Neurospora crassa OR74A: one gene and its partners. The protein of the gene in region 3 interacts with the protein of the main gene of each other region in a biochemical or structural test. Links are inferred from orthologs where the notes say so. Each region holds a gene or a part of one and is shown on either strand. Other genes may lie near its edges.

Region 1 (7,685 bases), on a different chromosome or scaffold from region 3:
CCCCTTGAGTCGGCTTTGATGTCGGATTATCGTTGTAAAAGTCAAGGCCGGAGACGAACTTAGCCAGGGATGAGGTTCTCGGGGATTATCACGCCTCCTGCAATCTTCTCGTCCGCGATCCCTTGTTCATATCGATCGAAGCAGGCTTCTGTCAGGTTTCTGGAAGACAAGCCCAGATGCATGGTGCGCGGCACGGCAAAAAGGGTGCCGGGTCTGTTTCCGCACGCAGGAGGCGAATGGTCCCGATCTTAGATGCGGCTCGTGTAGTGTAGGTATATAGAGACGAAAGGTGTCCAGTGAGCGAGGTCCAGAGTCCTCGGCAGAAGAAGGGCCATCCATGGCATCGTGGTATCCCAAGCATGGAGCTCGACATAGGTCCTACAGAAAAAGGTACCTACGTACAGTATGTAGGCATATCAACCTACCTACAAGCACCCTGCAGAAACGCCTTTTGCGTAGGTACCACACCGACAGTTGCAGCACACATGCCGTTCGGGCTCGAGGTGGTATCTGCATGACAAGCGCGATAGGTGCTAGGCTAAAGACACAGGCTCAGGTAGTTACCTACTTACTGTGAATGAAGCAGGTACATCCTCAATGACTGTCTTGAAAGATGAGTGGATCTAACAACAAGCCTTGTCGATGAGTATCTGGCTGAACGTGTGTTGCGAATGGTGACGATTCGCAAAACGAGGTATTGTATAAACTTGGCGCTCCATGGACTAGTAGGCTGTCGGGTTGTCTCTCTCTTGCTTAGCTACGGCTGCTGTAAAATATGCTCGTCTCCCTTTGCTCTTCGATAGAAGGGTGACAGAAAACGGCAAAGACTCGTATAGCGAGTTGCGCCTACGGCATTGTGCACCTCATGATGAGACCTGTCACCGCGTCCAGATTTCATCTGCCAACAAGGTTTTGGAGAAGGAGAGAAGGAGAAACCTCGTTTCACCGAGGAGACACACACAGACAAGCTTTGGATCGTGCTTATATGTTGGCTTACTTGTACGTGGAGGTTTTGTTCGTTTGTTGTGCAATCAAAGAATTCTGTATGGCTGGCTGGGTGCAGTGGTGGGTGCGTGGTCAACTTGCCCGCTAGAAAGCGTAAGACGAAGCCGATCTTGTTATGGAGGCTCTGGTGTTTTCAAAGTGCGAGGCGCTAACCATTTCTATCAAGTTCTCGTAGTATTGCCGTCCTCCGCAGCGTTCTCTCAAACAGTTTCGTCGGATACCTACCATTTAAGGCATGATTCGCCGTCAACCTTGCGGTATTCCAATCTCCTCAAGCTGAGGTGGTGTGTAGTTCAACGCATAAGCAGTAGCAGACAAGCTGTTAGCAAAGAGCGGCTTTGTGATCCAGCATGCATTGTCCAACGTCCGAGCGCAACAAGTTGACAAGAAGGCGACCACGGGGCCTCATAATGTGGTTGCCCAAACCAGAAAATCATCACCGTCTTGCTTGAGTTGCTGGCTTAACCTCTCACACGACTAGCCTGGATAGATCGCATCACGAAACCTGGCGCTATTCCCAATTACATGGAATAGGGATCTGGAGAGCGTGAGTGACTAGCCTGCCGTTCACATCTGGCGGCCAATCGGTAGCAAATGAGTGGCATTCACGACGAACTGTACGTAGCTATACGGCGAAGCAGGAGCCGGCGTTTGCTGGGCTGTCAAACCCATCCGCATACCACAGACCGTGTCCCACAATCTTGCGAAACACAAGGCTCACTGCAGAGTGCAGACACTACAGGGCCAGGCCAGGAGCGCTTGTCCAAGGACTGCTGAGTCTCGATATCGAAGGAAGTTGATCAACTCCTTAAGGACAACATTTCGCGCGCGGAAGGCCTGCTGCGGCCCCACAGGCCGGCCGGCCTTTGGTTTTCACAACGCTCATCGCTTCAAGCCGGTGCGCCCCAGTCGTCCCAGACATGACGCACTGGCCGGGCCACAGAGGCAAGAAAAACGAGTGGACGCCAAACGCCAGGGAATGGGACGCGGAAATCCAAGGACCAAGACGGGCGTTTCGACTCCGCCCGTTTGGCCATATCTACCCCACAAGCCCGGGGCATTTAATCACGGTTGCCGAGAAGCTGCCCCGTATCTGATACGTACCGAGGGGCTAAATCTTGGCTGATGAGCGTGATGGCGATGTGTCGATACGAAATGGTTTCCCGTTTTCAAAAAGTTCAATTATGCGAATACATAGCACGGTCCTATCGCGCCGAGCTTGAACACGCGAGGAGCATGAGCACCTCCCACCTCACTGTGCGCAGGAGGAGGGGTTGTCCCGGCCGTGATTGACGCGGGCAAGCAGAGATTGCGGCTGTGTTGTATGTAGATAGAGGTACTGTACTGACTGTCGAACAGAGACCACAGAACACCGCAGAGGTTGCACGCAGACTCGTTCTCCAAGATGCCAGGCCAGATCAGGATCGGAACCTGGAATGCCCTCGAGTTGACGTCTACATTGGAATCGAATCAAGCTGACGGCGTCAAGCAAGGTCCAGAGCGGGTGTTGGAAGCAACCTCGACGACATGATGCCAAAGTCAAGAGGAAACGAGGGGAAAAGGTTGAAGAGGTGGTGGCGCCCTGGTCCCTGTCAGTCTCCCGTGCAGAGTGTCCCCGCCATCGCCGTTCCGTTGCCGCCGGCGGTTGAACAAAAAAGTGGGCAGGTGAACTGATGGAACTTGAAGCCTCTCACAGGCGCCTTTTCGTGGTGTTGTAGTGGTAGCAGTGGCAGCAGTGGTCGAAAGTGGCTCTCTTCAACTGCAATGGCACTGCACCAGGCAGTCTAGGTAGTCCCACTCTCCCGTCCCCCACCCGTCCCCACCTGCCCTGTCTGGCAGAGGGGACGGGACTGAGATGTAGAACTAGAGGTAGGTAGTGTAGTGTAGTGTAGACTTCAGTTGCTTCCCAGAAGGCCGGACACACTCCCGCTGTCTGTCTAGAAGCCGAAAAGTGCATGTGCTGCCCTCTTGTTGTGCGGTGCAGTGTGCAGATGCAGCAAGCAACAGCCGCCCGACAGCAGTCACGAAGCATTCGAAGGGAATAGGTAGACCTAAGACCGACACAACCTCAATCATAGTATGCTTCCCTGAACTTTGCGTCCGGGCTTCCTTGTCTCCAATTCTCATTTGGCATCTGCAGGCCGAGTGTCCCCGCCCCGCCCGCCGTCCGACCGTCAGCAACACCGGACGACAGCCAGACAACTTCAGACGACAGCAGCAGTAGCAGCCCAGCAGTAGCAGCCCAGCAGTAGCAGGAGCAGCAGCAGCATCGCCGCGCATAGCCGACACCCGTCCGCCATCTTGGGTTCACTCATTTGAGCCCGGCCAACAATAAGTCGATAACGAGTTTGACGAGATTCGTAAAATTCGACAACCCACAAACTGTCAACGGCCACACATCGACACCGACTCGTACAAAGTTGGACCACCATTGGACACACCCTGCCCAAAGCAAGCAATCCCCCGCGCCGCCCAACCAGTCACCCACTTTATCCAAGTCATCCAATCCCTCTCCAGTCTGCGCACTTGTAGCACCAGCACCATACTGCTTGGACTATGCCCGACCTTGCCCTGCTCAATCATCAATTGGGTGCCGTCCACAAGCTAACGTCTGCTCACCACTCTCAAAAGGTAGCCGGACCCTGACCTTCTGATAAGCATACTAAAAAGCTTCGAGATCCATCAAAAATAAATCGTCATTCAAATAGTCTAGAGAAAACAAGCGGAAAAGTGAAAAGCGCCAGCCTAGTCCGAGTTCCCACACAGCAGTAACAACAGAAAGCATCACCCCTTCTTCAACGTACCCAGTCCCCGCCAAACCCAGCATCGCCGGCGGTCCGGGGTCTGTCTTTTTTTCCTACCTTGTACCTTCAACTTGTACACAATCCCACCACAAACCAAAGCGCAATTTTCGACCGGCATCAAGCTTCCAGGATCCCGTCCCCCTTCAATTGTCGACTTTTTTGCTCTTGTCCGTTCTGTGTCTGTGATTCTGGCCTGCCAACTTATCCCGCCCGCCTCAATAACTGCTGCCACCCCCCCAATTCCCGTCTCTTCTCCCAAGTCTCGCCTTCTTTTGGTTGACCCGGCCCCCAGCCAAACCGTCCGCCAGTACCGTACGTTGAACATCTTCCTTGTCTTTTCTTATTCTTAGTTACCCCATCTCGTAGCCCTCGTGCCCTTCCCTACGCTAGGGTTGGGTTTCTCTCGCAGTGACCATGGACGGCCAGCTCTCCCTCCTCTCGCCCACCTCGTCCTCCTCCACTTCGCATAGTCGCAAAAGACTCACAAAGAAGCAACGCCCGCCATCCGCAAATCACCGCACTAGCTCCTCTTTCAATGTCGAATCGCTCCGTATTGACGCCCAATCTCTAGACAGCAAACGGAGCGCCTCCAGCCTGCGCCAGGGCCCCAACTGCAACCAAAGCCCATCTCTGGCCAGGACCGTATCCGTCCCAGTCTCCGTCCCTTCAAACGCGCCCGCCCACACCAAAGCCAGCGACCTCTCTCTGCCACGCTCCCACACCACTCGCTCTCAATCCGCAAATCGCCCTTACAATCCGACGCAGACAATACCAACCAACCGCTTTATCCTCTCGCCGGCCTCATCGTCGCAACCCCAAACTCAATCGCCGCCTTATCCCAGCGCTGTTGCCAGCACCACCGTTACTAGCTCCAGGAACAAGGACACATCCAAGCAGTACGACCCACTAGACTCCTGCATTGGATCCTTCGATCAAAACAAATTATCCACGGATGAACTGATTGGCGCTCCATTCGACGGCAACGCCATTCTCAGTCGAATCGAGGCAACAAAATTATCAGCCGCGCCCGCGCCCACGTCCACGACCACGATTGCGCACTCCAACAACATTTCTCCTCGTCGTGTCGCTCCTCCTCCTCCTCCTCCCCCGCCTGCTCTATCGCGCTCAAACACGGACTCCAAGGCTGCGAGATCTTCAAAACCGTCAAAGTCGCCCAAATCCACCATATCAAACAAGACCATGGGCGCATCTTCATTCCGCCACTCGGCGAGTTTCTCGTCGGCTGAACAACTTCCGCCAAGCGAAAAGCCGTCCAAGTCAGAGAGCAGCTCTTCGAGTAACAAGAGACACTCCGGTGATGGTAAAGAGTCCAGGGTGCCCGGTATGCTAAGGAAGAAGTCGGGCTTCTCCGGCTTCATGAACAGCTTAGTTGGGTCTCCGAAAAAGCCATTGATTTCGGCGCCAGAGAACCCCGTTCACGTCACACACGTCGGATATGATAGCAATACTGGCCAGTTCACGGTATGTTGCCATGCCATGTCAACTAGTCTGAATGTTATGGATGGACTAATACGTTGATAGGGTTTGCCAAAAGAGTGGCAGCGTTTGATAAGCGAGAGTGGAATCACTGAGAAGGACAGAAGAGAACACCCACAAATACTGGTCGATGTCCTCACATTTTACAAGGAGACAACCGAGAAGCCACAGGAAGATCAACAGCTAGAGAAGTTCCACGATGCACGAGCGACAGATTTTCGCAGCCCGCCCGTGACCGGCACCGCTCCGCTCGTACTGCAAACAGGCGTTGGCTACGCTCATGGTCCCATGTCGCCAATGATTAGTCCACCCGCTAGTCCTAGGTTTCCTCAAGTTGGTCATGAGGGCAGCTTTGAGAACCCCCGTGCGCCGCCGCCGGTTCCCAAGGGCCCTGGCCCTCTTCCAGCAAAGGATATCAACTTGATCCCCAGCAGACCGGCACCGAAGCCACCAGCAATATCCACACGACCGCTGGTGCCGCCAGCCTCATTGCCAGCCAAGGATTCAGGAATTGGCATGCCACCGCCCGGTGATGAGGCTCCGATGCCGTACCTCCCTCCCAAGGATAATGTCCAGCATATGTACCAGGAGGAGCACAGGAACAGGTCCAGATCGAATTCCCGGACAAACGGCGCTGCCCCGTTCTCTCCCGTGCAGGCGTCCCCACTGCATCCGATCGCCACGGCGAACCAGACTGCGGCTTATCAGCAGCAATTGTTGCAACACCAGCAAGAACAGGCCATGGCCCAAGCCCAGGCAGCAATGAGCGGTCAACTGAGCCGAGCTGCAAGCAAGAGACAACAACCAACTCCGCCCACCTCACAACACCAACACCCCCGGCAGCCAGACATCAATGGGGCTCCTCGTATGCCACAGACTCAGGGGGCGGCTCCCCAAGCTAGCGCGAGACCCCGTCACAGACCGCGGCAAAGTAACGCGATTGATGTCGTGGCTTCCCTAAAGAGGATATGCTCCGACGGGGATCCGAGAGAGATTTATCGTGGGTTTACCAAAATTGGTCAGGGTGCCTCTGGTGGTGTGTATACTGGCCATGAAAGGGGAAGCAACAGGCTGGTGGCTATCAAGCAGATGAACCTTGAGCAACAGCCAAAGAAGGATCTCATCATCAATGAGATTTTGGTTATGAAGGAGAGCTCACACCCCAATATTGTCAACTTTATTGACAGTTACCTATGTGCTGGGGAATTGTGGGTAGTCATGGAATACATGGAGGGTGGTAGCTTGACGGATGTTGTCACGTTCAACATCATGACTGAAGGGCAGATCGCGTCAGTTTGCCGAGAAACCCTCAGAGGCCTTCAACATCTGCACTCCAAGGGCGTCATACACAGAGATATCAAGTCAGACAACATTCTCCTTAGCATGGAAGGCAATATCAAGCTCAGTAAGTTTTCCCCTTCGGGCTTTTTGGGCAGTCTCCGAAAGTTCAAACTTTTTGAGCATTTTCCTGTTCATTTTCCCACCATCTTCAACCCCCAACGCCCATCTGGTGCTGTGACCCGATTCTAACCCTTGTTCTTCCACCATAGCCGATTTTGGATTCTGTGCTACAATCAACGAAGCTCAAAGTAAGCGTACGACAATGGTCGGCACGCCTTATTGGATGGCGCCCGAGGTTGTGACACGTAAAGAGTACGGCCGCAAGGTGGATATCTGGTCATTGGGCATCATGGCCATCGAGATGATTGAAGGAGAGCCTCCCTACCTGACCGAGTCGCCTCTTCGAGCGCTTTGGCTCATTGCGACCAACGGCACGCCGCACATCAAGGATGAGCAGTCACTCTCACCAGTTTTCCGCGACTTCCTCTACTTTGCCCTCAAGGTGGACCCGGAGAAGAGGGCCAGCGCTCATGATCTACTAAGGGTAAGTCTTGGTTCGCCCCTGCATTTTGAATGGCCCTCTGTTTGCGGCTCTTCACCTGCTACGTTACGCTACCAGGCTCAAGGAGATGGTGATATTTCCGCCGGGCACCGAGCTAACTCTTGTAACAGCACGACTTCATGAACAAGTGCGTCGACCTATCAACACTGGCGCCCCTTGTCCGAGCAGCAAGGGAAGCCCGAGCCCAAGAGAAGGCCCGTAAAGGGCAGTAGTGTATGATTCTTCTAGGCGTTCTGTGCTGTACACGCACGCACGAGAGATATTCCCCTGGAGCGTTATTGTTTCACATCCCCCTTTTTGTTCTTTAATTTTTTTTTCTTTTTTTTTTTTCCCCTTCTGGGTTCTAAAGCAATTCTCTTCTGCAGCAGAGATTTGTGGATTAGGTGTGGTTATCAACCCTATCTCTACCTTTACGTGGCCGGTCAGGTCTTGATTTTGCATCTGCTGGAATTTCTTTCTTGGTTCGAGATATCTGT
Region 2 (7,627 bases), on a different chromosome or scaffold from region 3:
ACAACCTCTTCTTCGCGGTCGTCCAAGGAACCGTACCTGAAGAAGGCCCTGATAAGGTTTCGGGTTTCTTTCTCATTGAGGGGGCGTTTGGGATCAGAAAGCAATGCACGTTGCTCTTCGAGCTCTTCCTGCTCTTCCCTCTCGCGTTGTCGCTTCTTTGCCAGACGCTCAGCTCGATCGTTCTCTGCGCTCTTTTTGGAGCCTTTCAACGCAGCTTTTCTAGGAGCATTCTCCTCTATCGTTTTTGCCAAGTACTCCTCTTCCTTCTTTCTATTTTCCTCAGCCTTGATGGCAGCAAGCTGCTCGGCTGGAATGATCTGATCCCAGTCAAGGGCGAGATCGTCAACTTTGACATCGGTGACCTGCATCCAGTTATCCCAGTCGATACCACCACTGCTCAGGTTGATCTTGTCATCGACATCAGTTTTGGTAACTTCGGCATTCTCGAGGATAGCATCGATATCGAGCTGCTCCAGCTTCTGCTGGTTGCTAGATTGTTCGAACAGGTTCTGGGAACGCATCTTGAGGATCATCGAGATATCCTCAGCGGTCTTAGCCTCGTCCATCTTGAGGCCGCGCTCCTTGAACTGCTCTTTGAGAGCCTTGCCTTCATCTGTCACACCGGCCTGAATGGTAAGATACTCCAAGAAGAGCTTGTTGCGGGCTCGCTTTACAACTTCCTCTTCAATAGTCTGCTTGGCCACGAGGCGGTAGACATTAACAGGTCTTTTCTGGCCGATACGGTGAGCTCGAGCCATTGCCTGAAGATCGGCCTGGGGATTCCAGTCCGAGTCATAGATGATGACAGTATCAGCCGTCATAAGATTGATTCCAAGGCCACCGGCGCGGGTAGACAAAAGGAAGCAGAAATCATCGCTGCCCTCGGCGTTAAAATGATTGATCGCCATACGTCTTGGGCCGGCAGGAATGGTACCGTCGAGTCGCTGGAATTGATATCCGCGAACACGGAGATAGTCACCCAAAATGTCTAGCATCTTGACCATCTGACTGAAGATCAGAACACGATGTCCGTCCTTCCTAAGTTTTGCCAGCAGCTGATCAAGAAGCATCATCTTGCCGCTACTTGTAATGAGACCCTTGATCTGGTCTTCACGGCGTGTGCTGCCGTTGAGGACACGCTCCTCGGCACCCTGGAACATGTACGGGTGGTTACTGACTTTCTTCAGCTCCATCATGATGTTGAGCAACGATTGCTTGTGGCCGTTGCTCGCGTCGCTGAGGGCAGCATAGTTGCGTGTGAGAATGTTCTTGTAGTAGTCAAGTTGCACGTCAGACAACTCAACTCGGATGATCTTTTCGGTTTTGGGGGGGAGGTCCGACTCGACCGTCTCCTTGGTGCGACGCAAAATGAAAGGAGCGATTGACTGATGCAACTCGCGGAGCTTCTCTTGGGTCCTGATACGCCTAGCCTCATCCTGTTCTTCATCAGTGGGACCTTTGTTATCTGCGGTAGACAACGCTTCAAGCTCCTCATCAATGACGACCTTTCCGGGGTTAAGGAAGTCGAGGAGGGCTGAGAGTTCGGCCAGATTGTTCTGAATGGGTGTGCCGGTAATGAGGACCTTGCAAGGAACGCCGAAGTTGTTGAGCTTGATGTAGAGCTGTGACTCTCGGTTCTTGAGACGGTGGGCCTCGTCAACAGCGAGAACTTGCCATTTGATGTTCTTGAGATGATCCGCATCGGCCAAGATGTAGTCATAGGAAGTGACTAAGACATTGAACTTGGTCTTCTTTGGGTTACCATCCACAAAAAGTTCGTAATCTCGAATGTTGGACCGAGCTGCCTCCGGGCCCAGGTAAACGACGTAATTGAGATCCGGAGCCCAATGATTAAATGTATCGCACCAAGCGGGGATGACGCTAAGAGGAGCGACGACAAGGAACGGTCCTTCCTGGCCGCGTTCATTCCGTAACCAGCTGAGGAACGAGACGCTTTGGACAGTCTTTCCCAGACCCATTTCATCGGCTAAGATGACGTTGTTGCCCCTTACCCAGTTGAGAGCAAGGAAGTTAAGGCCTTTCATTTGGAACTCGCGAAGCTCGCCGCCCTTGATATAGTCAGGCTGCTTCTCCAGTTTGGTCATCCTCGACCGGGTATCGGGGTTAGTTTGCTTGCGGTCAGACTGCCATGACCGGTTGCATCGGTCGAGGAACTGGTTAATCTTGTCCTGAGCAAGTTCGGCCACGAGAGACTCGGCTTCCCAGGTGCACTCGTCGTATTGCAGGCCCTTCCACTTGATGTAATACTCGGTGCCCTCATCACCGTCTCTGACAGCCACAACGCGCTCGACCTTTGTGTAGTCTTCGAGGGCCTCTTGCTCACGTTCTCTATCCAGGTACCACTGCTCTTTCTGCTCCGGACTGATATCGTCGCCACCGAATTGCATCTCCAGTTCGTACTCAACAACCTTCTTGTAATAGTTTTCGAGGCGGCGAAAGCCTCGGAAGCCTGCGACAGTTTCCGTAGTTTCCCAGGTGTTGTGGGGATATGATTGTCCCTGCCACTTGATGAAGTATTCAAAGTCGTGTCGCGTAGAATCCACCGTGACCTCGACACCCTCCTTAGGACGATGACCGAGGATTTTCTCGATGTATGGCGAGTTATCCTCGACATTGGCAGACCAGTAGTTGGGGGTAAGCTCGGAGTCGTCCTCTTCATCTTCTTCGGCGTCACTTTCTTGGTAGGCACCGGCTGAGACCTGGGCGGCCCGACGGCTAGACCATCTCTTTTCGCTAAAAGCCAAGGCAGGGTCCTGTTCTTGTTGCCTGCGGACCTTTCTTTGGAAGCTGCGGGCTTTGGCGCCTCCATATGTGTCCGAGTCGGAATCATCGATTGAGGGTTGGCGAGCAGGAGTGCCACGCTTGGAAGCTGGAAATCACGACAAGTCAGCAGTGAAACAAAATGCCGAGGAGTATGACGGATGAAAACTTACCAGGCAACGAGCGTTCAACCCGACGTCTCTTCGCAGGCTTTCTAGACACCGGTGTGGCATCCGATTCGGATGGTTCATCTTCTTCATCTGAGTCGATCTGTTTACTCAGTTAGGAGAGGCGTAACGACGAGAGCTCATCTTGATCCACTTACGATCTGCGCACGGCGTTGTGTAGGGCGTGACTGTTGTAGGTCGTTAGCATGGTATAACACAACAAGAATGCGGGATATTCGTACACTCCTCCTCAACCCATACAGGGCAGGATTCTCTCTGATGTAATCATCCTCGGTCGCGTGGGCGACTTTGCGCTTCACGACGGTACGGGACGACGAGGCAGACACGACTTCGTTGCTCTGAGCAGACCTGGGGCTATCGGGGGCGTCAAAGTCTCCGTCATCTGACGCGTCGTTATCACTTGCTGAATCGGACGCTTCCTCGAACGTCAACTCGGGTTTTTGTATCGGCGAGACAGCCTCGTCGGCAGGCTGATACGACTGGGCGTCGGCGTCGTCATTTGGGTCGGCCTCGGCGGCATTAACGTCTGAAAGGTCGCTCGTGCTTTCGGTATCGTTGGTAAAGTTGAAGTGGCTGTCATCCGCCGGCGGTGACACATGCCCGAACACCGGACCGGATTCGGGAGATGTCGACATTTTGAGACTTAGACGCGGAGGCTGCCTGCTGTAAGACGACGATGTCAGCCAGCGGTACGCGTCATTTACGAATCACTACTTGGGGCGATGGAAAGAGGCCACTCTTGCGACCCGGAATCATCAGAGAAATCCGGTATCGGGGTAGCGGACGACCCTCAATGATGATTGTCGCATTGGCTCGCGTGTAAGTGATGGAGGCAAGGCTGTGGATGATGAGGCGGACGGCGACGGCGATTGCAGTCGCGTGTGGGCGCCCTGAGGGCACGGGAGAGCAGGCCATGGTCTAGGGCAGCTGTAGAGGCGATATTCATCAAGAATCGACGGTCTGGCGACCTCTACAAGCTGGTAGACGATGGATATCAAGGGCGACGAGGCCCGCTTCGATGGGCGAAATGATGGGGAAAATGCAAGGCGAATACGCAGGGCAGGGCACGCAGTGGGCAGTGGGCAGTGGGCAGTGGGCGGCAGTGGCTGGACTCACAAGTCATGGAAGAATTAAGAGCCTCCAGGCAGCAGACTGCAGAGTGAATCTTCAAGCCCGAGATTCACAATCGCGGTGCCGTGGGAGGAGTGGTGGTGGGGGAAATGGTCAAGGCCGGAGACCCTGGGAGGGGGCTGGCAGTGGTGATGGTGTAGCGGAAAATCGCAGTGATGGACGGAGGAGAAGAATCCATGAAAATGGTGAACCAGAACCAGCAACACCAGTGGGCCACTGCCTGGCTTGTGCTTCAGACGAGGCCCGCTTGCCCTCAACTCAATGCTTGCTCAGTCCCACTTTCTGATTGGTCAGTTTCGTTGGAAGCAACCTCCGAACTCAAGTGTGGGACCGCCACATAAAGGTTCCAGCTCCGTAATTACCGAAACCGAAATGTAACGCGTGTCTTGTGATCTGACCACTTCAATGATGTTCTCTTTCACTGGATGGTAGCGCCAGGAGGAAGCACACTTGCCTAATCCAGTCCGATGGGCGCTGTCACGATCCTTGCCCGTTTTGCTCACAACGCACGAATTTCAGTTGTGTGACGAAGATCTGTAAGATCAATGTTTCTTGTAAGTTTGGGTTTGGAAAGAACGAATAACAGGACACAAACCCAACGCGGCTCGAGCCTGGTCGGATATCATTGCTGGAGCTTGCCAGCTCGTTGGTTGCCCACTCCGATCGTACCCTTCCAGACGGCGTGGGCGGTGTGAGGCAGGCGAGAGCGGGCGATTCCCGATTCAATTGCTTGGAGGTATGTATGGTTATGACCGCTCAGCTATCAGGTTATACAACACTGGAAGAAGTTCAAGGATGGAATGTGGTTGATATAACAACAAATGATTCAGAGAAGTGTTGTTGTCGGTTGATGGCACATCGACTGTGTACCGGTGCGACTTGGGAATCAACAAGGTGGGAAAGATGGAAGATGGACGACAAGCTGAGAATACTCCCGGTACGTGGACGTCGCCCGGTTTTTCTAGGTAGGCATGCTGGCGTCGAAGGGGTTTTCTTTGTCAGCTCCGGTGCAGGTGCCAGCCATGCACTGGTCTCTCCTGGTGCTTCACTTCAACTTGGTACACCGCGAGCACCGGCACCAAGGTGATTTGGATGATTTCCCGCCACTGGAGCTCCGGCTCGAAGAGAACCTACTGCGAGCCGACGCAGGCAAACCCAGGCAGGCAGTCAGGACGACAACATCTTGTAGGTGATTGTGCGGGGCCACCTCTATTTAACCCATTCCACAAACGTAATCCGAGAGCCTCCAAAAGTGTCAAAGAGAAACAGATATACCTAATCAAAGATTTTATCCTCGTCTCATGCCTATCCGACCAAAGAAATACCAGTCCTAAACTCCCTTCAGATTATGAGTATGTCCAAGTGGGTATGGTAGAGGCACCGCTTCCCTGGCGCAGCTGGAGCAGATCCGTCCAGGACGATGGATCCACACGATCCCGTGCTGCTGGGGCCACCAGCCTTCCTTGACTGCCAACATTGACCTCTGTCGGCAACTATCTTCAACGTCTTGATGCCGATGTCATTTCTGCCTCGACAACATGTGGAATAGACTGCTATCAGAGTAGATTGGTTGTGAGTCACTGCCCGGCCGGGGCGCAGGAAACATATGTCGACAGGCAGCCAGAGCTCTGTTCGGAAGTCCGGTTTGATGTCAGTAACCCTGCGCCTCTCTGCATCGTGATCGTTGACGGCATCCGTGATGCTGCGAGTGATTTCCTTAAACGATACGGTTGTGGGAGGAGTCCGAGCGCTTCTAGTTGTCAACCCTAACTAGGTAACTATGCACATCCTCCTACCGAGCGTCATGATCAAGCTTGATGTCGTCGGCCATACAAGTACTCCCCTCCAAACAAACAATACGCTGCCATTGACGCATTATCTTTAGCCGAGGGAGTACTAGATATTAACGCTCACTTGTGAAGGATGGGTCGGATCTGTTCATCCACGGAGGAAACTATCATCACCTGGACAGAGAAAGTGGCAATATCAATGAAACTGTCTAGTCATCATCATCCGCATTATAGTCGTCCATTGGAAGCGATGACCATGTATTCGGGAAAATAGGCGATGTAAGGCTGTGTTCAGCAGATCTCGGATCTGTTTTGGCTGATAATGAGCACAAACTGACTTCAGCAAGACATTAAGTACACGCCCATGATTAACCAACTCTCCACGATGCCACTTGGGTCACTGTAAGAATCTTTGGGCAGAAGTTGTCCTGAAATGAAGGGGAGATCAATGGGAAGCGGAAACAGAACAAAGGACAGAGGAACAATAGTAAAAGTGGAACCCAATGTGGACGACCACTTGCGTGAACATCAGCTAGATACTTGGTGCAACCGCAATGATAGGATAGTAGAAGCTCCTGTCATGTTATGGAATTCTGAGACAGAAATCATGGGGTGGACTGAGAGTTCAGCCCGACTGGGGAGATGGAATTTAGGTACCTACTACTTATATGGAGGGTCGTTACATACCTACAAAAAGTGCACACGGGGCACCTAAGGCAAGCAATGACAGCGAAACAGGAACAGTGGGCTTTCACCTGGCATTAGATACCAAGGTAAAGTTGGTACCTTTAAGAGGTAACCTATCAACCGTGGCACATTTCAGCTTACACCTCTTTTGTAGCTCCAACCCTGCTACCATGTTGGTACATAGCGTTGCGGGGCTAGAGGTACCTAAGTAGGAAGCCCGACGACCTACCTTACTTCACATCAGGGCAAGCGGGGTCTTTTTTTTTTACGATCCGCCCTGCCACCAGACTCGGCGCACGGTGCAGCGGTCTCGACATTTTTTGAGACGAGGGAACTGACATTGTCCACAACCCAGGCGTCGACCCACGTTGCCTCTGGAGAAACTTAAGAGTGTCAGCCTCCTCCGCCTTGTTTGGCCCTCTCCACTCTGCTCGTAGTATTCCGAGACGTGCGGCATCTTGAGAATTTCTCCCCCTCCCCCATTTCCCGCTTTGCGCCTAGGATAGCGGTCCGCCCACAGTCACCCATCTCGATCAGTCCGCAGAGCGAAATCACAGACAAGATGTCGGACAAACTCACTCGGTGCGTTTACGATCCCAAGGCCGCACGCGTGTGTGCTCTGCTTGTAGAAGCATCGGCCGATACTGGCTTGTGCTGGTCTGGCTGTATGCGCTGTCTGGCTTCCACCTTGCTGACCTCGCCTGTTTCGTATCTGTAGTATCGCTATCGTTAGTAGCGACAAGTGCAAGCCCAAGAAGTGTCGCCAGGAATGCAAGAAGTCATGCCCTGTTGTGCGCTCCGGTAAACTCTGTGTAAGCTTCCCTCTTCTCCATAGTCCTCGTGCGGTAACAAGACCAAACAGCTAACTGCTCTCTAACAGATCGAGGTAAGATCTCTCCGGACCCCTTGCGATCCCCGTGTTTTGCGCGACAACACCCTCCTGACATCCGATATCTAGGTGTCTCCCGAGTCGCGCATCGCCTTCATCTCCGAACAGCTGTGCATTGGTTGTGGTATCTGCCCCAAGCGCTGCCCCTTCGGCGCCATCAC
Region 3 (7,785 bases):
CGGTTCACGAAGAGGCCCCGTGTTCAACTCGGTTGCAGGTCATGAAAATCTTTCGAGCAAAGCCGGGATTCTGGTATGCTGCCAACGACTTTCCGTGTTTGCTCCCTACTAAAATGGTAAGTAGTGTCCTGCTACAGTTGACTCTTTTAGTGGGTTTTTTTTTTCTTCTTCGGTTGTTGTTCTGTTCTTCCCGCACTCTCTGTTTTTCTGTGTCACACCTGGTGAATAAGATCAAGACGAGACCGGAGGACCTAGTGTGAGAGGTGGCTGTCTGCGAAAGAAGACGAAATAGGTAGTCTGACCAATCACCAACACGAAGAAAACTGATGTCTGTTCCCATCCATATCTCTAGGTATCTCATCAGCAGCCCAAAGCCCCCATTTATCCTCCACATCTTTAAACCCCAACAAGTCTTCTCACCCTCATTCCACCCCTCCCCTACTATGGACCAATCTTCCCTTACTCCCCATTGCGCAAGCTTTCAAAAATTCAAGGCCAGTCACAGCTCCTGCCCACCAAATCCGCCAACTTCTCCAACCACACCTTATCGACCTCATCGAACCCGTTCAGCTCCGCACAGTCCACATCGATGATGGCCACCACCCTATCATCCACCACAATGGGAACCACAATCTCGCTCTTGCTGTCGCCGTCGCAGGCGATGTGGCCGGGAAAGGCGTCGACGTCGGGAACGAGCTGAGTGGTCTTGGTGGCGGCTGCGGCACCGCATACGCCCCTGCCGAAGGCGATGGTTTGGCAGGCTACTTTACCTTGAAAAGGGCCTAGAATGAGTTCGGTAGTGGAGGGGTGGTTGAGGGTGTAGAAGCCTATTATGTGGGCGGGTTAATTTGGATTTGGAAGAGGCTAAAGGAAAAGAGGGGAAGGGAGAGAGAAAGAGAGAGTCAAGTGTAGTGAGATGAGACGTATAGGTGTGTTTGACAGGCAAAGTAGTGACGCAGTGAGGAGAGGGAGATGTTGTCCAAAAAGGACAGGAATTTTCGACGAAGCAAGGTAAAATGAAAACTGAAAGAAGAGATAACGACCGTTGAACAAGCAGAGGTAGGAAGAAAAAGCTGGATTGGATCTTGAACAAAGATGAACACAACAAATACTTACCAGCCCAGTTGACCTGGTTGCTCGGAGCCGGAAGAGACTTGAAAGCGTGCCAGAGAAGGGCAGCGCAGTTGGACAAATTGCTATTTTTTAAAGAGTACATTAGCACTACAATGAGGATCTTGTACGTTCCATCTGTTGTTTTCAGGACGGACCATCCCGAGAAGGGGCTGTAGGGTACATGTGGGAGCCAACGTCGACTTACCAAACCTAACGAATGTCAATCATTCAGGTCACCTTTTTAGACATTGTCCCTTCCTGATGTGGTGGTGCAAGCAGGCTTGGTTCCTCATCTTACCCAGTTCCTCTGCTCATAGAACAGACCTTCAGCTTGGTCAAGAACCTGCTGGTAGGCCTCTTCCTTGGTGACGTTGGCAGCAAAGTTGGAAGCGTCGGCGTGAACCTATAAGACGAATACCGTGTTAGTCTCAACCGTCCTCAAGTTTGGAGAAGCCTGTAGTTCGTAGGTAGGTATGCGCGATGAGGTCTTCAACTGTCTCGAAACAAAGGATTGGACTGATTGAAACTGTTCACGAACCATTTTGACGTATTATTATGACCCTGTTCTTTCTATGTACAAATCTTGAAAATCGACCTAGAGTGGTGGTGTTGGACACCGAGGAAGCGAACTTCAACTTTTGAAATTTGTCATTCACTTCTGAATCCGGGGAAGTGGGGCCAAATGGCACTGCTCCGGTCGGGTCCGTGCGGAACTGCCGCCGTACCGGCAGCCGATGGGCCGGCCCCGAGTGGCCTCCGGTGGATTCACGGTTTCGATCCCAAAGAGGACCGGACTGAATCACCAGCCGGATAAAGGAATCCAAGATAATTGTGCGGATACTTACTAGATGGTGTGGGAGGCTCGTCCTCGCTTCATACTGGGCAGGATACAGCTCAAGGGCCCTTCTCGGAAGTTGTGCTGATGGCAGCTTGTCTTCTATTAGTGATCTGGACCTTATGATGTGCTGTCTAAGTTACCCGAACCAAGGTCCAGAAGATGCCCAAATGGTTGTCGAGACGGCAGCGGGAACTACTTATTTTTGCAGTACAGCAGCTCGCTTTGCAGTGAACGTCAAATCACGGACAAGTGATTGGTTCGATGGGCACAGTTCGTCGTCTTCCACCATTCAGTAAAGTTTCCCGTCGGGCAGATGTTAGCCAATTTTTCCATCTCATGGCGGTATCTTCCAGAATGCCGATCTATCAAGTATAGATGTGAAACATCACAGGTTTTCCGAGCGGCATCTTGGACATTGCTCTTTGCACTTGTACGCGGTGTCTGGGCCCGTCGAGTCTATTCTTGAAGATAGTGTTGCTGTCGTTTCGCACAGTGATTGCCATCACTCGTTCATTTATTCATTCAGGTTGACATGGGTATCAGCTCTAGGTTGATCGCTGCTGAGGACGTTCTTTGCGTCGAAGTAAAGAAAGGTGAGTTCTGGTTAGTACGTCTACTAGTATTTAAATGGAAGAAGTTCGGCACCCCAGAGCTTCCATCGCTTGCCAAGACTTAGTTTAATCGTACCTGTGCATTGGAAACTTAGCTCCACCCCTCCCGTCCCTCTGTTTCCATTCCACGCCCTGTCCCGCCTGTCCCTCTTTCATCTCCATGCACTCGCTGCAGGGCACCTAAAGAAAGAGGTACAAGTTCGACTTACAAAGTTAACAGAATCGCAAGTTGTTGGAAGTCCCGACGACACCATTTACGCTCGTCTATTTCCATCATTCATCAATATACTTCTCTACGATTCCCATACTACAGACCTTTCAGGAATATCACCATTGCCGTGGCAACCAGCATATATAGTTGCCTCAGGCACAGAACAGAACCTCTTAGGCATCCTAACGCGAAGGCAGTGGACAGGGGCGCCAAGAGCTGTGGCCCGTGACGTGAGCGACGCGCGACACGGGAATTTTTGTGTCTTTGGCCTGGAACCGGATCCCGGCTGGCAAGCACTGTAAAGTACTAGCAGTGCCGGCTGGAGAGGTGTGGTAGCCTTGTTTCTGTCATCTTGAAGGGTGTCTGCCGCCACCGTCAGTACCAGAGCAAGCAGCCCCTCGCCAAAAGCACGACTTCACCCAAACCCAAACCTCTGCTGATTTGATTGTTTCTGCCATCTTCAATCGCGCGCCGCTGTGCCGTCGCTCATCATGGCAGACATCAAAATCGACAGCAAGGTCTTCCAGGAGCGCGTCTCGCACTTCTACAATGCCTGGAAGGCCGACAAGCGCTCCGGAGACGCTCTCTTCGGTGGCGTCTCTTCCATCGTCATCCTGATGGGCAAGGTCGACGAGAACCCCGAGTTTCACAAGAACAACGCTATCCATGTGAGTTTTGCCCTCTGGAGAGCCCGCTCGGCGTGCGCTGGCTGTACGTCTGGCGGGCCATTCCAGTCAAATGACAGCTGCTGATAGCTCTACGTAAAGTTCTGGCTGCTAGGTTACGAGTTCCCGACGACCCTCATGCTGTTTACCCTCGACACCATCTACATTCTCACCACCCAAAAGAAAGGTTCGCCCGGTATTCCCGACCCAAGAACGCGGACAAACTATCTGACACGTTAATAGCCAAGTACCTCGACCAAGTGAAGGGCGGCAGATACCCCGTTGAGGTCCTCGTGCGGGGGAAGGACGCCGCCGAGAACGAGAAGCTTTTCATCAAAATTACGGATGCCATCAAGGCTGCGGGCGTAAGTTACATCCCATCCTGGGCGCACATCAACATCTCGGTGCGGTTCTAACACATTTTCGCTCGTTATAGAAGAAGGTTGGCGTCCTTACCAAGGACACCTCCAAGGGCCCCTTTATCGACGAATGGAAGAAGGTCTATGCCGATAACTGCAAGGATGTGGAGGAGGTTGACGTTGCCCAGGCTCTGTCTGCTGGCGCCTTCTCCGTCAAGGATGAGACCGAGCTTCGTGCCATGCGGACCTCGTCCAAGGCTTGCGTCGCCCTCCTGACCCCTTACTTCCTCGACGAAATGTCCAATATCCTCGACCAAGATAAGAAGATCAAGCACAGCGCACTAGCCGATAAGGTCTTCAACAAACTGGAAGACGATAAGTTTTGGAAGACCGTCGAGCTGCCCAACCGACAGAAGCTCCCGGCTGACCTCGATCCCGAGCAGCTGGACTGGATTCTGGGACCGATCGTCCAAAGTGGTGGCAAATTTGACCTGAAGTGGCAGGCTGATTCTGACAATGATATACTCCACCCGGGAATTATCATCGCGGCTATGGGTCTCAGATACAAGTCCTATTGCTCCCAAATCGCCAGAACTTTCATGGTCGATCCCAACAAGTCCCAAGAAAGCAACTACAAGTTCCTACTTGCTGTCCACAACCTCATTCTCAAGGAGATCCGGGATGGTGCCATTGTCAAGGATGTTTACACCAAGGCCTACAACTTTGTGCGGTCCAAAAAGCCCGATCTTGAGAAGCACTTTCTTAAGAACGTCGGCTTTGGAATCGGCCTGGAGAACAAGGACCCGACCTTGATTCTCAACAACAAGAACACCCGTACCCTTAAGGATGGCATGACACTGGTTGTGACCACCGGCTTCAGTGATATCCAGAACCCCAACCCCCAAGACAAGAACAGCAAGGTCTATTCCTTGATCCTTTCCGATACGATCCGTGTCACTAGCTCCGAGCCGGTGGTGTTTACTGGCGAGGCGCCTGTCGATGTTGATGCCACCTCGTTCTTCTTCAAAGATGAGGAAGAAGCACAGCCCACACCGAAAAAGGAGAAGCGGGACTCTAGGGTGGGTGCCGTTGCAACCAAGAACATCACTAGCACTCGTCTACGCTCTGAGCGTAATACAACGGTAGATGAGGACGCGGACAAGAGACGTCGCGAGCATCAGAAGGAACTCGCGCAGAAGAAACAGAAGGAAGGCTTGGCCAAATACGCCGAATCTACCGCTGATGAGAATGGCGTCGAAATCAAAAAGTTCAAGCGCTTCGAATCTTACAAGCGGGATAATCAATTCCCGCCCAAGGTTAAGGATATGGGCATCGTTATTGATCAAAAGAACGCGACCATAGTACTGCCTGTTATGGGCAGGCCGGTACCCTTCCATATCAACACCATCAAGAACGCAAGCAAGAGTGACGAGGGCGAGTGGTCATTCTTGAGAATCAACTTCCTATCTCCTGGCCAGGGTGTGGGTCGGAAGGATGAGCAGCCCTTCGAAGATGCATCTGCGCACTTCGTCAGGAGCTTGACTTTCAAATCAACCGATGGCGATAGGTATGCTGACATTGCAAACCAAATCTCGAACCTCAAACGAGACGCTGTCAAGAAGGAGCAGGAGAAGAAGGATATGGAGGACGTAGTTGAGCAGGACAAGCTCGTTGAAATCAGAAGTAAGTCGCTTTCCCGGATCAATTGTATTGCAACATACTAATTAACTATCAGACCGTCGGCCCGCCGTATTGGATAATGTCTTCATCCGGCCGGCCATGGAGGGCAAGCGTGTGCCTGGTAAGGTGGAAATTCACCAGAACGGTATTCGCTACCAGTCACCTCTCAGCACAACGCAACGCGTGGATATCCTCTTTTCCAACGTTCGCCACCTTTTCTTCCAACCATGTCAGCACGAGTTGATTGTGATCATCCACATCCACCTCAAGGATCCCATTATCATTGGAAACAAGAAGAAGACGAAGGATGTCCAATTCTACAGGGAAGCCACCGACATCCAGTTCGACGAGACCGGCAATCGGAAGCGCAAGTATCGTTATGGTGATGAGGATGAGTTCGAGGCTGAACAGGAGGAACGCCGGCGCCGCGCAGAGCTGGATCGCCTGTTCAAGTCGTTCGCGGAAAAGATTGCCGAGGCGGGCCGCAACGAAGGCATTGAGGTGGACATGCCACTCCGCGACCTTGGTTTCAACGGTGTACCGTTCCGCAGTAACGTGTACATCCAGCCCACCACGGAGTGTCTCATCCAGATCACCGAACCTCCATTCATGGTTATCACCCTTGAGGACATTGAAGTCGCACATCTGGAACGTGTTCAGTTTGGTCTCAAAAACTTTGATCTGGTGTTTGTCTTCAAGGACTTCACGAGGCCACCATACCACATCAACACCATTCCTGTCGAGTCTTTGGAAGACGTCAAGGAGTTCCTTGACTCGTCTGACATTGCCTTCTCAGAGGGTCCTCTCAACCTCAACTGGGGTGTCATCATGAAAACGGTCACTGCCAATACCCACCAATTTTTCTTGGATGGTGGCTGGGGCTTCCTGCAGAACGACAGCGACGACGACGAAGTGGAGGAGGAGGAAGAGGAGAGCGCCTTCGAAATTGACGAGAGCGAATTGGAGGACGCTTCCGAGTCTAGCGAAGAGGATTCCGAATACGACTCCAACGCCTCGGAGGAGGCCAGCGATGAGGCGGAAGACAGCGAGGAGGAGGAGGGCGAGGATTGGGATGAGCTGGAGAGGAAGGCTAAGAAGCGTGACAGGGAGAGCGGCTTCGACGACGAGGAGGAACGTGCGGCACCCAAGAAGCGGAGAAAGTAGACTGATTAGACCCGGTCTTCGTTCGCTTGAGCTCTTCTCGCGATATGACAAGGTTAATCGGTTGACATTTATTTTCCTTGTGAGTTTGCATATCTTGGGAAAAGGGTTTCAAAATCGGGCCTGTGTACAAGTTTGGCTTTTTTTCAGACTTTCCCTTTTTTTCCTCTTTCCTATGTCGGCGTGGATTTGATTTTGCGCGGTCTTTTTTTCTCTCTTCCAATGGGCAAATTTGTCTGGCGTGCAAATGGGATATATTGTTTGGTACTGTAGTTGTATGAACATGGTAGGTAGTAGTAAACTACTTGTTTTACACAATCTGGCATGGTGAGTGATACCGTACTTTAATTGAAGTTGTCACAGGAAATGAAAATGAGCTTGTGGTTTTCTTTTTTAAAAAAATTGTGAGTAAATAATGAGACCTACATCCCATGAAATGCATCTGTACTAAGTAGTGAAACGGAAACTATACCAAACCCAAGACGCCGTTCAGTTATTGATATCCCAAAAAGACTTGTGTAAGCGCGTGCTGAACTTCAAAACCCAGCGAAGTTTTTGGAAACAACAACAGGCAAAGCTCACAAAGAGCGGTTCCGTGTTGGATCAGGAATCCCGCCCTCTCTCTCTCTCTCTCTCTCTCTCTCTGTCTCCTTCAAGTTGTCTGCTTCTCCTTACCCTTTCCGCCTCTTCTATCCCAATTCATGTTTCGACCAGCCAGCCAGCCCCCGTCCTAGCCTCATCCCGCAGGGTAAGAAGTTTCATCACATCCATCCAGCCATCCATCCATCTCACGGCGTAATTAGGGTCTAAATTATATCTTCGTTCTTTGTGTGTTTTGTCTTACTTGGTTCGAGTTCTGGTTGCTCGTTTCACGTCGATCCAGCCTGAGCGGCCGAAGGCTGATTCCACGACAGGTACGACGGGTCGCCCAGCTTACGAGGCTTCCATATGAAGAAAGACAAGACAAAGTAGATGTCAAGAATAAGGCAGATGCCGCCGACAATGAGGAATATTATCCCTGGCCAGATGTTGCGGGCGCCCATGGCGGTGATGGTGGTGAGCACGATGGACTTGTGTCCGTTGTAAACGGTGGTGTTGAAGTTGTCGACAATCTCAATCCGGTAGTTGCCCGCCTTCATGGCGTCGC

The links.
Region 1: of the proteins of NCU01164 (region 3) and stk-4, one has a biochemical effect on the other in vitro, tested with the Saccharomyces cerevisiae proteins (2 studies listed by BioGRID). The link is inferred for Neurospora crassa OR74A from reciprocal best matches to the Saccharomyces cerevisiae genes SPT16 and STE20.
Region 2: the proteins of NCU01164 (region 3) and crf6-1 form a complex in vitro, tested with the Saccharomyces cerevisiae proteins (2 studies listed by BioGRID). The link is inferred for Neurospora crassa OR74A from reciprocal best matches to the Saccharomyces cerevisiae genes SPT16 and CHD1.

Annotation. Positions count from the first base shown.
Region 1 is NC_026506.1:2,077,358-2,085,042, reverse strand, and holds the start of stk-4 (serine/threonine-protein kinase ste-20, variant 1), read left to right. Parts: upstream 1-3,432; 5' UTR 3,433-3,456; intron 3,457-3,563; exon of another isoform or gene 3,564-3,640; 5' UTR 3,641-4,223; coding exon 4,224-5,291; intron 5,292-5,351; coding exon 5,352-6,711; intron 6,712-6,856; coding exon 6,857-7,191; intron 7,192-7,319; coding exon 7,320-7,421; 3' UTR 7,422-7,685. Other genes in the region: NCU03895 (hypothetical protein), read right to left, coding at 2,188-2,459, 2,829-2,868, 3,219-3,305. UniProt on the Saccharomyces cerevisiae protein: MAP4K component of the MAPK pathway required for the mating pheromone response, haploid invasive growth and diploid pseudohyphal development. Links the pheromone response G-protein beta gamma subunits to downstream signaling components.
Region 2 is NC_026501.1:4,379,887-4,387,513, forward strand, and holds the start of crf6-1 (chromodomain helicase, variant), read right to left. Parts: upstream 4,254-7,627; 5' UTR 4,086-4,253; intron 3,956-4,085; exon of another isoform or gene 3,633-3,955; 5' UTR 3,605-3,632; coding exon 3,191-3,604; intron 3,137-3,190; coding exon 3,107-3,136; intron 3,052-3,106; coding exon 2,955-3,051; intron 2,891-2,954; coding exon 1-2,890. Other genes in the region: NCU03061 (translation initiation factor RLI1), read left to right, coding at 7,140-7,159, 7,296-7,389, 7,458-7,463, 7,536-7,627. UniProt on the Saccharomyces cerevisiae protein: ATP-dependent chromatin-remodeling factor which functions as substrate recognition component of the transcription regulatory histone acetylation (HAT) complexes SAGA and SLIK. It recognizes H3K4me.
Region 3 is NC_026505.1:3,094,442-3,102,226, forward strand, and holds NCU01164 (transcription elongation complex subunit), read left to right. Parts: upstream 1-2,701; 5' UTR 2,702-3,264; coding exon 3,265-3,441; intron 3,442-3,540; coding exon 3,541-3,625; intron 3,626-3,681; coding exon 3,682-3,803; intron 3,804-3,874; coding exon 3,875-5,480; intron 5,481-5,532; coding exon 5,533-6,641; 3' UTR 6,642-7,052; downstream 7,053-7,785. Other genes in the region: NCU01163 (GAF domain nucleotide-binding protein), read right to left, coding at 490-827, 1,117-1,196, 1,319-1,323, 1,412-1,516, 1,652-1,654; NCU01165 (LEM3/CDC50 family protein), read right to left, coding at 7,508-7,785. UniProt on the Saccharomyces cerevisiae protein: Component of the FACT complex, a general chromatin factor that acts to reorganize nucleosomes. The FACT complex is involved in multiple processes that require DNA as a template such as mRNA elongation, DNA replication and DNA repair.